2 linked regions of the Caenorhabditis elegans genome follow. The protein of the gene in region 2 purifies or fractionates together with the protein of the main gene of each other region. This does not show direct contact. Each region holds a gene or a part of one and is shown on either strand. Other genes may lie near its edges.

The links. The genes of interacting proteins can lie anywhere in the genome.
Region 1: the proteins of tmed-10 (region 2) and copb-1 fractionate together in Caenorhabditis elegans (co-fractionation; one large-scale study listed by BioGRID). This does not show direct contact.

What each region holds. Positions count from the first base shown.
Region 1 is NC_003280.10:3,077,038-3,081,832, forward strand, and holds the start of copb-1 (Coatomer subunit beta), read left to right. Parts: upstream 1-1,758; 5' UTR 1,759-1,768; coding exon 1,769-2,261; intron 2,262-3,350; coding exon 3,351-3,559; intron 3,560-4,220; coding exon 4,221-4,303; intron 4,304-4,795.
Region 2 is NC_003283.11:11,323,443-11,328,861, reverse strand, and holds tmed-10 (GOLD domain-containing protein), read left to right. Parts: upstream 1-1,897; 5' UTR 1,898-1,915; coding exon 1,916-2,020; intron 2,021-2,140; coding exon 2,141-2,203; intron 2,204-2,253; coding exon 2,254-2,578; intron 2,579-4,458; coding exon 4,459-4,580; 3' UTR 4,581-4,897; downstream 4,898-5,419. Other genes in the region: str-141 (Serpentine receptor class r-10), read left to right, coding at 5,042-5,221, 5,294-5,375.

The DNA.
Region 1 (4,795 bases), on a different chromosome or scaffold from region 2:
GAACTTAAGCTTTTTGTGTCGATTTCCGTGTAAATTATCACATTTCAAAATGCGGCCGGGTCTCGCCACGATTTGCCCGCCGCTGTGTCACGGGGTACGGTGGATGGCGAGAACCACGTCACTGTGCGAGAAATCTAGATTCCAATCTTTTTCCGGCGATTTACGTGGATTTTTGCCGGTTTTCAGCGGATTTTTTCGTTTTTTCGTGGGTTTTTGAGGTTAAAAATTGATTTTTGAAGCTTTTAAAGCTATATTTCAGTCGAAAAAGCGGCAAAAATCGATAAAAAACAGGTAGAAAGAGTGAAAAGTGACGTGGCGTTGAATTAGGTCAATTTAAATCAATTTGTCGTTGAAAATTGGGTTTTACAGCTTTAAAGCCTAGATTTCTGTCAAAAAATCAATAAAAACCAGGCGAAATGAGAGAATTTTGTGAAAAATCAAGTTTCGCAACTTTTTCCGTAGTTTTCTGTGGATTTTTGCGATTTTTTTCCATTAGAAATTCGATTTTCTGTGTTTTTTGCAGAAAAAGTTACAGTTTTTGCTGAAAAATGCGATTTTTTCAGGCAAAAACGACAAAAAATCCCATTATCAGCAGAATTTTGGTGGTTTTCTCAGTATTTTTTTCTGAAAAATGCAATTTTTTCAGCCAAAACTGGCAAAAATTGCATTATTAGCAACAATTTGTGTGATTTTTCAGATTTCTAGCTGAAAAATGCAATTTTTTTCAGCTAAAACTAACAAAAATCGCATTTTTTGTGGATTTTTGCAACTTTTCGCGTTTTTTTTTCCATTAAAAATTAAGTTTTAAGGCAAAAAAAGCGAATTTTCGCGGGGTTTTACCACAAAAAAAAACCGAGGGAAAGGCGAATTTTGCATACAATTGTCCAAAAAATTGAATTTTTTCAATTTTTTTACAAGAACAGTCAGAAAATTTGCATTTTTAGTAAAAAATTTGGCATTTTTTACTGAAAAAATGGAAAAAATCGATTGAAAATGGGGATTTTTAGCCGAAAATTTGGAAATTTTCAGTAAAAATCTGATTTTTTTAGCTTAAAAACCGATATTTTTCGATTTTTAAGCTAAAAAATTGATTTTTTCAGTGAAAAATGGAAAAAATCGATTGAAAATGGGGATTTTTAGCCGAAAATTTGGAAATTTTCAGTAAAAATCTGATTTTTTAGCTTAAAAACCGATATTTTTCGATTTTTAAGCTAAAAAATTGATTTTTTCAGTGAAAAATGGAAAAAATCGATTGAAAATGGGGATTGTTAGCCGAAAATTTGGAAATTTTCAGTAAACACCTAATTTTTAGGTTAAAAGCCGGGATTTTCCGATTTTTACGCCAAAAAACGGAATTTTTGACTAAAAAATCGGGTTTTCAGCTGGATTTCGAAGAGTTTTAGGGTTAAAAATGGTCAAAAATTCAATTTTTCTGATGTTTTTGATTTTTCTGATGTTTTTGAGCATTTTTCATGCTTCAGAGTGATTTTCTTGTCATTTACAGCGTTTTTTGATGATTTTTATCCATTTTCTGACGTTTTTGGGCATTTTTCATGCTTAAAGGCGATTTTCGGGGGTTTTCCAGCGTATTTTGACGATTTTTATTCATTTTCTGGCGTTTTTCGATGATTTTCGATGATTTTTCACAGAAAAATGCGATTTAGCTGGAAAATTCAATTTTTTCACAAATTTTTTTTTAAAACGTGAACTTTCTCTACTTTTTTCTTTCTTTTCCCCACAAAAAACCCGAATTTCCAGCTCCTCCACAATGAGCTCCGGAGAGCAACCATGCTACACACTCATCCACGTGCCCAGTGACGCTGAGCTCCCATCAGAAGCTCAATTGAAGGAAAAATTCGAGAAAGGAGGCGATAAAGAGCGAATTGAGGCGCTCAAAAAGCTCATTTACATGATTTTAAACGGAGAAAAAACGTCGCAGAGCATGCTAATGTACGTCATCCGCTTCTGTCTTCCATCCAATGAGCACACCCTTAAAAAAGTGCTCTTGATCTTCTGGGAATGTGTTCCGAAGACGGATTCCAATGGAAAGCTGCTCCACGAGATGATTCTGGTGTGCGATGCCTACCGAAAAGACCTTCAACACCCGAATGAGTTCGTTCGCGGTTCGACCCTTCGGTTTTTGTGCAAACTCCGTGAGCCCGAGCTTCTCGAGCCGCTTATGCCGGCGATTAGAGCTTGTTTGGAGCATCGGCACTCGTATGTTCGTCGTAACGCTGTCTGCGCGATTTTCACTATTTATAGTGAGTTTTTTTGGGCTTATTTAGGCCTGAAATGGGCTTGAAAATGCGAAAAATGACTTTTTTCCAAGAATTTTCACCTTTTATTGCATATTTTACGTTATTTAGTTGATAAAAGGTACATTTATTGCAAAAAATCGCATTTTTAGCTGAAAATTGGCGAATTTTTCAGCCAAGAACGGCTAAAATCGCATTTTTAGCCGAAATTTGAGGGTTTCTTAAGATTTTTGATTTTTTGCTCCAAAATGCGATTTTCTAGGCTCATTTTCGGTGAAATTTGCGATTTTTTGCGAAAAAATCCCTTTATTAGCTGAAAATTGGCGAATTTTTCAGCCAAAAATGGCAAAAATCGCATTTTTAGCCGAAATTTGAAGGTTTCTTCAGTTTTTTTTGGTGAAAATTGCGATTTCTCATGTTTTTTGAGCTGAAAAATACGATTTTTTACAATTTTTATGCCAAAAAACACATTTTTAGCTGAAAATGCGATTTTGTCAGCCAAAAATGGCAAAAATCCCATTTTCAGCTAAAATTTGGGGTTTTTTTTTCAGTTTTTTTGCTGAAAAATACGATTTTTCATGATTTTTCAAGAAAAATCACATTTCCAACGAAATTCTGACTATTTTTCGCTGAAAAACGGCAAAAATGCCAATATTCAGCTGAAAAATGAGCATTTTGTCTGATTTTTGTTGCCAAAAATCGATTATTAAGCTGGAAGATGGAAAAAAAATTCGACTTTTTGATGTTTTAAGCTAAAAATACGTAAAATTTCGTTATTTTAAGCAGAAAAATCGAATTTTTCAGGGAAAAACCTGAAAAACTTGCAGATTTCCAGCTAAAAATGTCATATTTTCTGCAAAAAAACCAGGAAAAATCGTATTTTTCAGCTAAAAATGCGAGTTTGGTCTTGAAATGCACCTTAATTAACGAAAAATCAATGGAAATATGCAATAAAAGGTGAAAATTTGAGAAAAAACCAACTTCGGGACCGGAAAATTGACCAAAATTAATGATTTTAGCTAAAATTAGGTGATTTTTTCGCATTTTTTGATCATTTTTTCCCCGTTTAATCCAAAAATCCCGCTTTTTTTCCAGAAAACTTTGAATTCCTGATCCCAGACGCACCGGAGCTCGTCACAGAATACCTTGAACAGGAGCAAGATGCTTCGTGCAAGCGTAACGCTTTTATGATGCTCCTTCACGTAGATCAAGCTCGTGCTCTTGACTATTTATCGGGATGTATCGATCAAGTCGGATCTTTTGGAGATATATTGCAGCTCGTTATTGTTGAACTCATTTATAAGGTGCATTCTGTGGAAAATTGACTGAAAATATCGATTTTTTGAGAAAAAACCCGTAAAAATGGGGTTTTTTTCGTTGAAAATCGAAGAATTTTCATTAAAAACGGCGATTTTCAAGAAAATTGCGGTTTTTTAAGGAAAAATCTGACAAAACCCTGTAAAAATGGGGTTTTTTTTTTTGTTAAAAAACGGAGAATTTCCATTAAAAACGGCACTTTTTTTATGAAAATTAACTGAAAATGTGAATTTTAGAGTAAAAAAGCTATAAAAATGGCGTTTTTTCGTTGAAAAATGGAGAATTTACATTAAAAACGGCGATTTTCAAGAAAATTGATTGAAAATATCGATTTTTTGAGAAAAACTTGTTAAACAGGCTATTTTTGTTTTAAAAAAACGGAGAATTTTCATTTAAAACGTCGCTTTTTATGAAAATTGAATGAAAATATGAACTTTTAAGCAAAAATCTCAGAAAAATCGTGAAAATCTAGAAATTTCACTATAAAAATGTGTGAAAATCGATTTTTAATTTTAAAATTAACTAAAAATTGGTTTTTTCAACGAAAATACGATAAATTTATCGAAAAATATGATTTTCCTCCAATTTTAACCGAAAAAACTGAAAAAAAATGGCCGAAATCATCCAAAAACTCCAATTTTCTTTCAGGTTTGCCACAATAATCCAAACGAGGCTTCCCGATTCATCAGATGTGTCTACAATCTTCTTCAGTCATCATCACCAGCCGTTAGGTGAGGAAAATCTTGGAAAAATGACGGATTTTCCTGGAAAAAATGGACAAAAAATCGCCAACACCATAAAAATTGTGCGATTTTAGCGAAAAAACTGGAAAATTACGATTTTTAGACCCCAAAACCTTAAAAATTCAGCGATTTTCTCGAAAAATAGCCTGAAAAAATGAAAAATGTTGAGTTTTTTTTTTTCGAAAAAAATGCTCCAAAACCTGGAAATTGTGCAATTTTTTCGTTAATAAGCTGAAAAATAATTAAATCTTTATTTTTTCTTGAAAAACCTATCAAAATTCTCAAAAAAATCGAGTTTTAGACGCCAAAAGCCCCAAAACCGTGAAAATTTCGCGTTTTTCTGAAAAAAAAAAAGATAAAAAGTTAGAAAATTACCGTCTTTAGACCCCGAAATCTTGAAAATTCCGCGATTTTTGTCAAAAAAAAATAGGCGAAAAATCAGATAATTGCAGTTTTGAGACCTCCAAAACCTCCAAAATT
Region 2 (5,419 bases):
TGTCTTTAAATATTATTTTCCACAGCGCCTCAGATCGGGAGAGAAGAGCTAAAGAAGTGGTTTTGGCGCGGGAGCGCGTTTGCTGCAGACGTCGCACGAATTGGAATTAATGTGTAACAAAACAGTAAAATATCGCGTTTTTGCTGGATTTTAGGGATTTTAAAGCAATTTTCAACATGCGGGACCGCCCAGAGACTGTTCGCGATGCGATTTACTTCATTTTAATATAAATTTTCCCCCAAATAAGCTCGAAATGAGCTCTGAATTTCGGCGGATCTGAAAATTTTTTTTGACCAAAAACAGAATTTTGCAAATAAAAATTGATTTTAGAGCAATTTATTGCATAAATATTCAATTTTAGAATTTTTACTAATAGTTTGAATCTTTTTAAAGTGTTTTAGTCATTAATTTGACTGATAACACAGAAAATGATTTTTCTTTACAACGAAATCGATAAAAAAGTAAAGCAACATTTATCAAGGGAAATCTTGCAAAATTGGTTAAAAAACTTGTATGAAATCAAAGATTTCACTAGAATAAAGCTACAAATCAATCAAAATCACTAAAAGTACAAATAGTTCTGATCAAATTTCAATGTTCCAATCTACCAATGGATCTATGCCACGCCAAATTTCTTATGCAAGTGTTGCTCTCCAATTTTCCTTAAAAAATGGATCAAATACTCACATAAATGATCAAATTAACATTTTTTACAAGTTTCGTGTTATATTTTCTTTTTCTTAATAAGGAACCATCAGGTTCTTCCTGCCCTCTACGGCTCTAGATACCTCAACTTCGACAACTCCTATCTACTCGGAGAGGTGAGAGAACTTGTAGAGCACATCAAAAACTATGATATTCAATTTAACCTGCGTTTTTATCTTTCAAGATGGGGGAGTTAGACGTACATTTGTATTGCATGCTTTTTGTTATTCTACTGGCTGCTCTAACTCCCTCATCTTAAGAGATAAACACATGATTTTAACTAATTAGTATAGTTTCTACAATTTCCTAGTTAATCACTTTTTGATATCTTGCATCTCTGAGGAGATAGGAGTTGTCGAAGATACAGTATCTATAGCTATGCGCATATGAAGAATCTAATGGATTCTCATCATGCTATACTACTTATCATCTGCTTTTTGTGGGAAACAATGATTCAAAAATGTTTTTTCAAATGATCAAACAAGTTGTGATTTGATCTGAACATTTAGTGTTGGTTTAGTGAAGATCAGCTGCCAACTAAACAGTTTCCGTTGATGTGGGCATTTTTGAACAATTTCAAGACGTGAAACCGTGTTATCTCTATCAAGCTGACGTTTAAAAATTGGAATCAAACATATTAATGCTTGAAAAAATTTGTTTCGCGTAGAAATTTTGTCATAAAGTTAACTTGTTCTAGTCGGTTCGAAAATCAATGAAAAAGCAGCCAAATCGTGAATTTGTTGAATAAAATGTTTTTTAAAACTTTTTTAAAGCAATAATAATCCCAATATTTAATTATTTTTTCCAAATTTCATCTTGAAAACTCGAATAATCGCGAAATTTCGTCTGAAACTCATTTAATACCGTAAAAGTGTGCAAACGCGCTCCGTTGGACTTTCCTATTCTCGATTTTCTTAACTCTCCCGATTTGAGGCGCTGTGTTTTCCTGTTAAAATGCGTTTGTCAACGTTGACAACTCAACTACGGTTGCCAATGCGTGTTTGCGTACACACTCGATCCCACGCGCAACTGCATACGCCGCGTTGGTTTTAATTCCATCTTTTTTAAATTTATTTTCGGCGTTTGTATTGATTTTTGCTGTGTATTCCTTTAACATGAACTGATTTTTGTCCATGATAACTTTTGAACAACTTAATATTCATTATCGCATTTTTCTTACATTTATTTCCAGGTAATCATCCGAACAATTATGAAATCTCTAGTTATCTTTCTGTCAGCTATCGTTCTTGCCCATTCTCTGAGGTTCTACGTGCCACCAAAAGAGAAAAAGTGTCTGAAAGAGGAAATTCACAAGGTAAATACTTTTACAACTCCTTGTTACCATAGCAGTAAAGATGTCAAACATACTTTTTTTCGTTAAAAATTGATATATTTAATAAACATCAGAATTTATGTCTAATAAAACCTCTTGCAGAATGTGGTCGTAACAGGAGAATATGAGTTCAGTCAAGGAATTCAATACACTGGAAGTATTCACGTGAGTAAAAATAGTTTCAAAATTACTTCAAATTTTTAATTTATTTTCAGGTCACCGACACCAGAGGCCACACTCTCTACAAACGTGAAAACTTTGCTGATCTAAAAGGAAAATTCGCGTTCACTGCTGACGAATACGACATCTTTGAGATTTGCATTGAGAATCATCCACCAGCTGGGCATCCTGGAGAGAAGCGCGAGGTTTCTCTTATTTTGAAGCACGGAGTCGAAGCCAAGAATTATGATGATATTGCCAAAGCCGAGAAGCTGAAGCCACTCGAGGTTGAACTTAGAAGATTGGAGGATATGGCTGATTCAATCACCAAAGATTTCGCATTCATGCGCCAAAGAGAGGAAGAAATGAGAAATACGAACGGTAAGTGTTTAAAAAATCATTTGAATCATATAAAAGGTTCGTAATTATTTTAATTTAAAAATAATGCATTGCCGATTATCCAAGTACAGTGCTCCACATAATGATACGGCCACCCCCAAATTTTGGTATAACTCAAAACTGGGTTGAGATAGCAAAACATAATTTCTTGTGAAAATGTCCGCTGTACTGGCTAACTTTCAGATAAGTATTGGAAATATACATGAACCGTTCGTAAAAAAAGATAAACCATTTTTTCATGAAAATCCATATAAAAAAATCCACAAAATGATACGGCCACCCTTGGTTATTGTTTTCTTTTTTCGTTTTCTTTGCAATTTTTTTTGCTAAACGTTAGGTTTCATGTTCGTTTGTGTTTTTACAGCTATGTGTCGTGGAATAACTTTAACTGACTACGGAAAAAGACAAATTGTGCAAAATTATCTCAAGGCTTTTCGGATCGTCAGATTTCTCGTGATTTGAAACGTTCGAGAGATATGATCATTCGATATGCTTCAAATCCTGCCGCTCATTGCACCAAACAGTCTTCTGGTCGCCCACCACTTCTTTCTGGTAGAGACAAGCGAAAAATCGTTCGTCGAGCATCAAATTGAACAGTGACTTTCTCAAAAATTAGGCGCGAGATGAACCTGCCAGTGTCTGTTGAGACTGCACGACGTGTTCTTTCGAATTCCCAGTTTATCAAAAGACGAAAATTGAGAAAGGCTCCTTTCATTACCGAAAAAACCGCTAAAATCGTATTCAGTTAGCTAAAATCAGCCAGAGAACTAACTGGAGACAAGTGAAGATTACCGTATGATCATTCAAGCCCAATTTTGGTTTTAGTTCATCTTTTCTTCTCTCAAATCGTACCAGTAATCACGGTAGCCTTCTGGTTCATCACAGTTAAACTTTTCCTCGTCACTGAAGATGATCTGAGACCAATACATGAGCTTGAATGATCATACCGTAATCCTCACTTGTCTCCAGTTAGTTCTCTGGCTGATTTTAGCAAACTGAATACGACTTTGGCAGTGTTTTTCGGTAATGAAAGGAGCCTTTCCTAATTTTCGTCTTTTGATAAACTGAGACTTCGAAATAACACGTCGTGCAGTCTCAACAGACACTGGCAGGTTCATCTCGCGCCTAATTTTTGAGCAAGTCACTGTTCAATTGGATGCTAGACGAACGATTTTTCGCTTGTCTCTACCAGAAAGAAGTGGTGGGCGACCAGAAGACTTTTTGGTGCAATAAGTGGCAGGATTTGAAGCAAATCGAGTGATCATATCTCTTGAACGTTTCAAATCACGAAAAATCTGACGATCCGAAAAGCCTTGAGATAATTTTGCACAATTCGTCTTTTTCCGTAGTCAGTTAAAGTTATTCCACGACACATAGCTGTAAAAACACAAACGAACATAAAACCTAACGTTTAGCAAAAAAAAATTGCAAAGAAAACGAAAAAAGAAAACAAAAACCAAGGGTGGCCGTATCATTTTGTGGATTTTTTTATATGGATTTTCATGAAAAAATGGTTTATCTTTTTTTACGAACGGTTCATGTATATTTCCAATACTTATCTGAAAGTTAGCCAGTACAGCGGACATTTTCACAAGAAATTATGTTTTGCTATCTCAACCCAGTTTTGAGTTATACCAAAATTTGGGGGTGGCCGTATCATTATGTGGAGCACTGTATTAAGCTTTTATTATCATTGTTAATTAAATAGATTTGTAAGGCTACAACATATCGTTTCGAGACGCAATTCATTCTCTTCACGGAGCAGGATATTGTGATCCCTGGAAATTGTTTACCACTTTACTTGAGCAAACTCTAATTATTCGATTCATCGACAACCATCTATTTTTTACTTTTTTTTACAGAATCGACAAACAGCCGAGTTCTTTACCTGTCCATCTTTTCAATGCTGTGCCTTCTTGGTCTTGCCATTTGGCAAGTTCTTTTCCTCCGTAATTACTTCAAGTCGAAAAAGCTTATCGACTAGATTTCCCCAACCCTTAATTTATGATTAATTTATCAATTTTTTTTTCGGTTCTCCTCAACTTCTTGCTTTTCCCCCAACATCTCTTTTGTCCACACACCCAAACGTTTCATGTGATTTCTAATTGGTTCCCACATCTTTTTTACTAGATAATGATGATAATGAGTATTTTATTTTGTTGGATTTTAGTTGTTTCCTCCCCCGTTAATCTGCACAAGTATCAACAAAGGGTAAAATGTATAGTGTGTAATGTTTCCGTCTTATTTTTCTGTTTTCATCATTGCCGTTTTTTAAAATCATTATTATGAACTTTTAAATTGAAACATTGAAACATCAATTGGTAATTTACTCACCATATGGTGATTTAGTAAAGTACATAAGATCACTTTTCAAGAAGTCTTTTTCAGACGTCATCCTTTCAGAAATAACTTCAGACTTCATTCTCCACCAGTTCACTTACAACAATGATCGGTCTACATATTTTCCACTACGCCGGCTTTTTCGGAGCACAAATCTTCAATACTGTTCTGGCAATATTAATTGTGAAAAGAGCTGGAAAACTGTTTGGTAGTTACCGTCATGTTATGTTTGTATTCACATTTTGTTCGATGTTGTACTCTGCAGTAGAGATAATTGCACAGCCGGTACGATACAATAGAAAATTGGAACTTGAAATTGAAATTTTGAGAATGTTACTTCAAATAATCGTCTTTCAGGTACTATACATGAAAGGTCCAATGTTTGTCGTGTTTCTTGATAATAACGTTTTTTCTCAAGGCATTGGAAATGTAGTTGCTTGTTAGTTTTAAACATTTTACTTTTCATAGAACTCTTAAACAAAA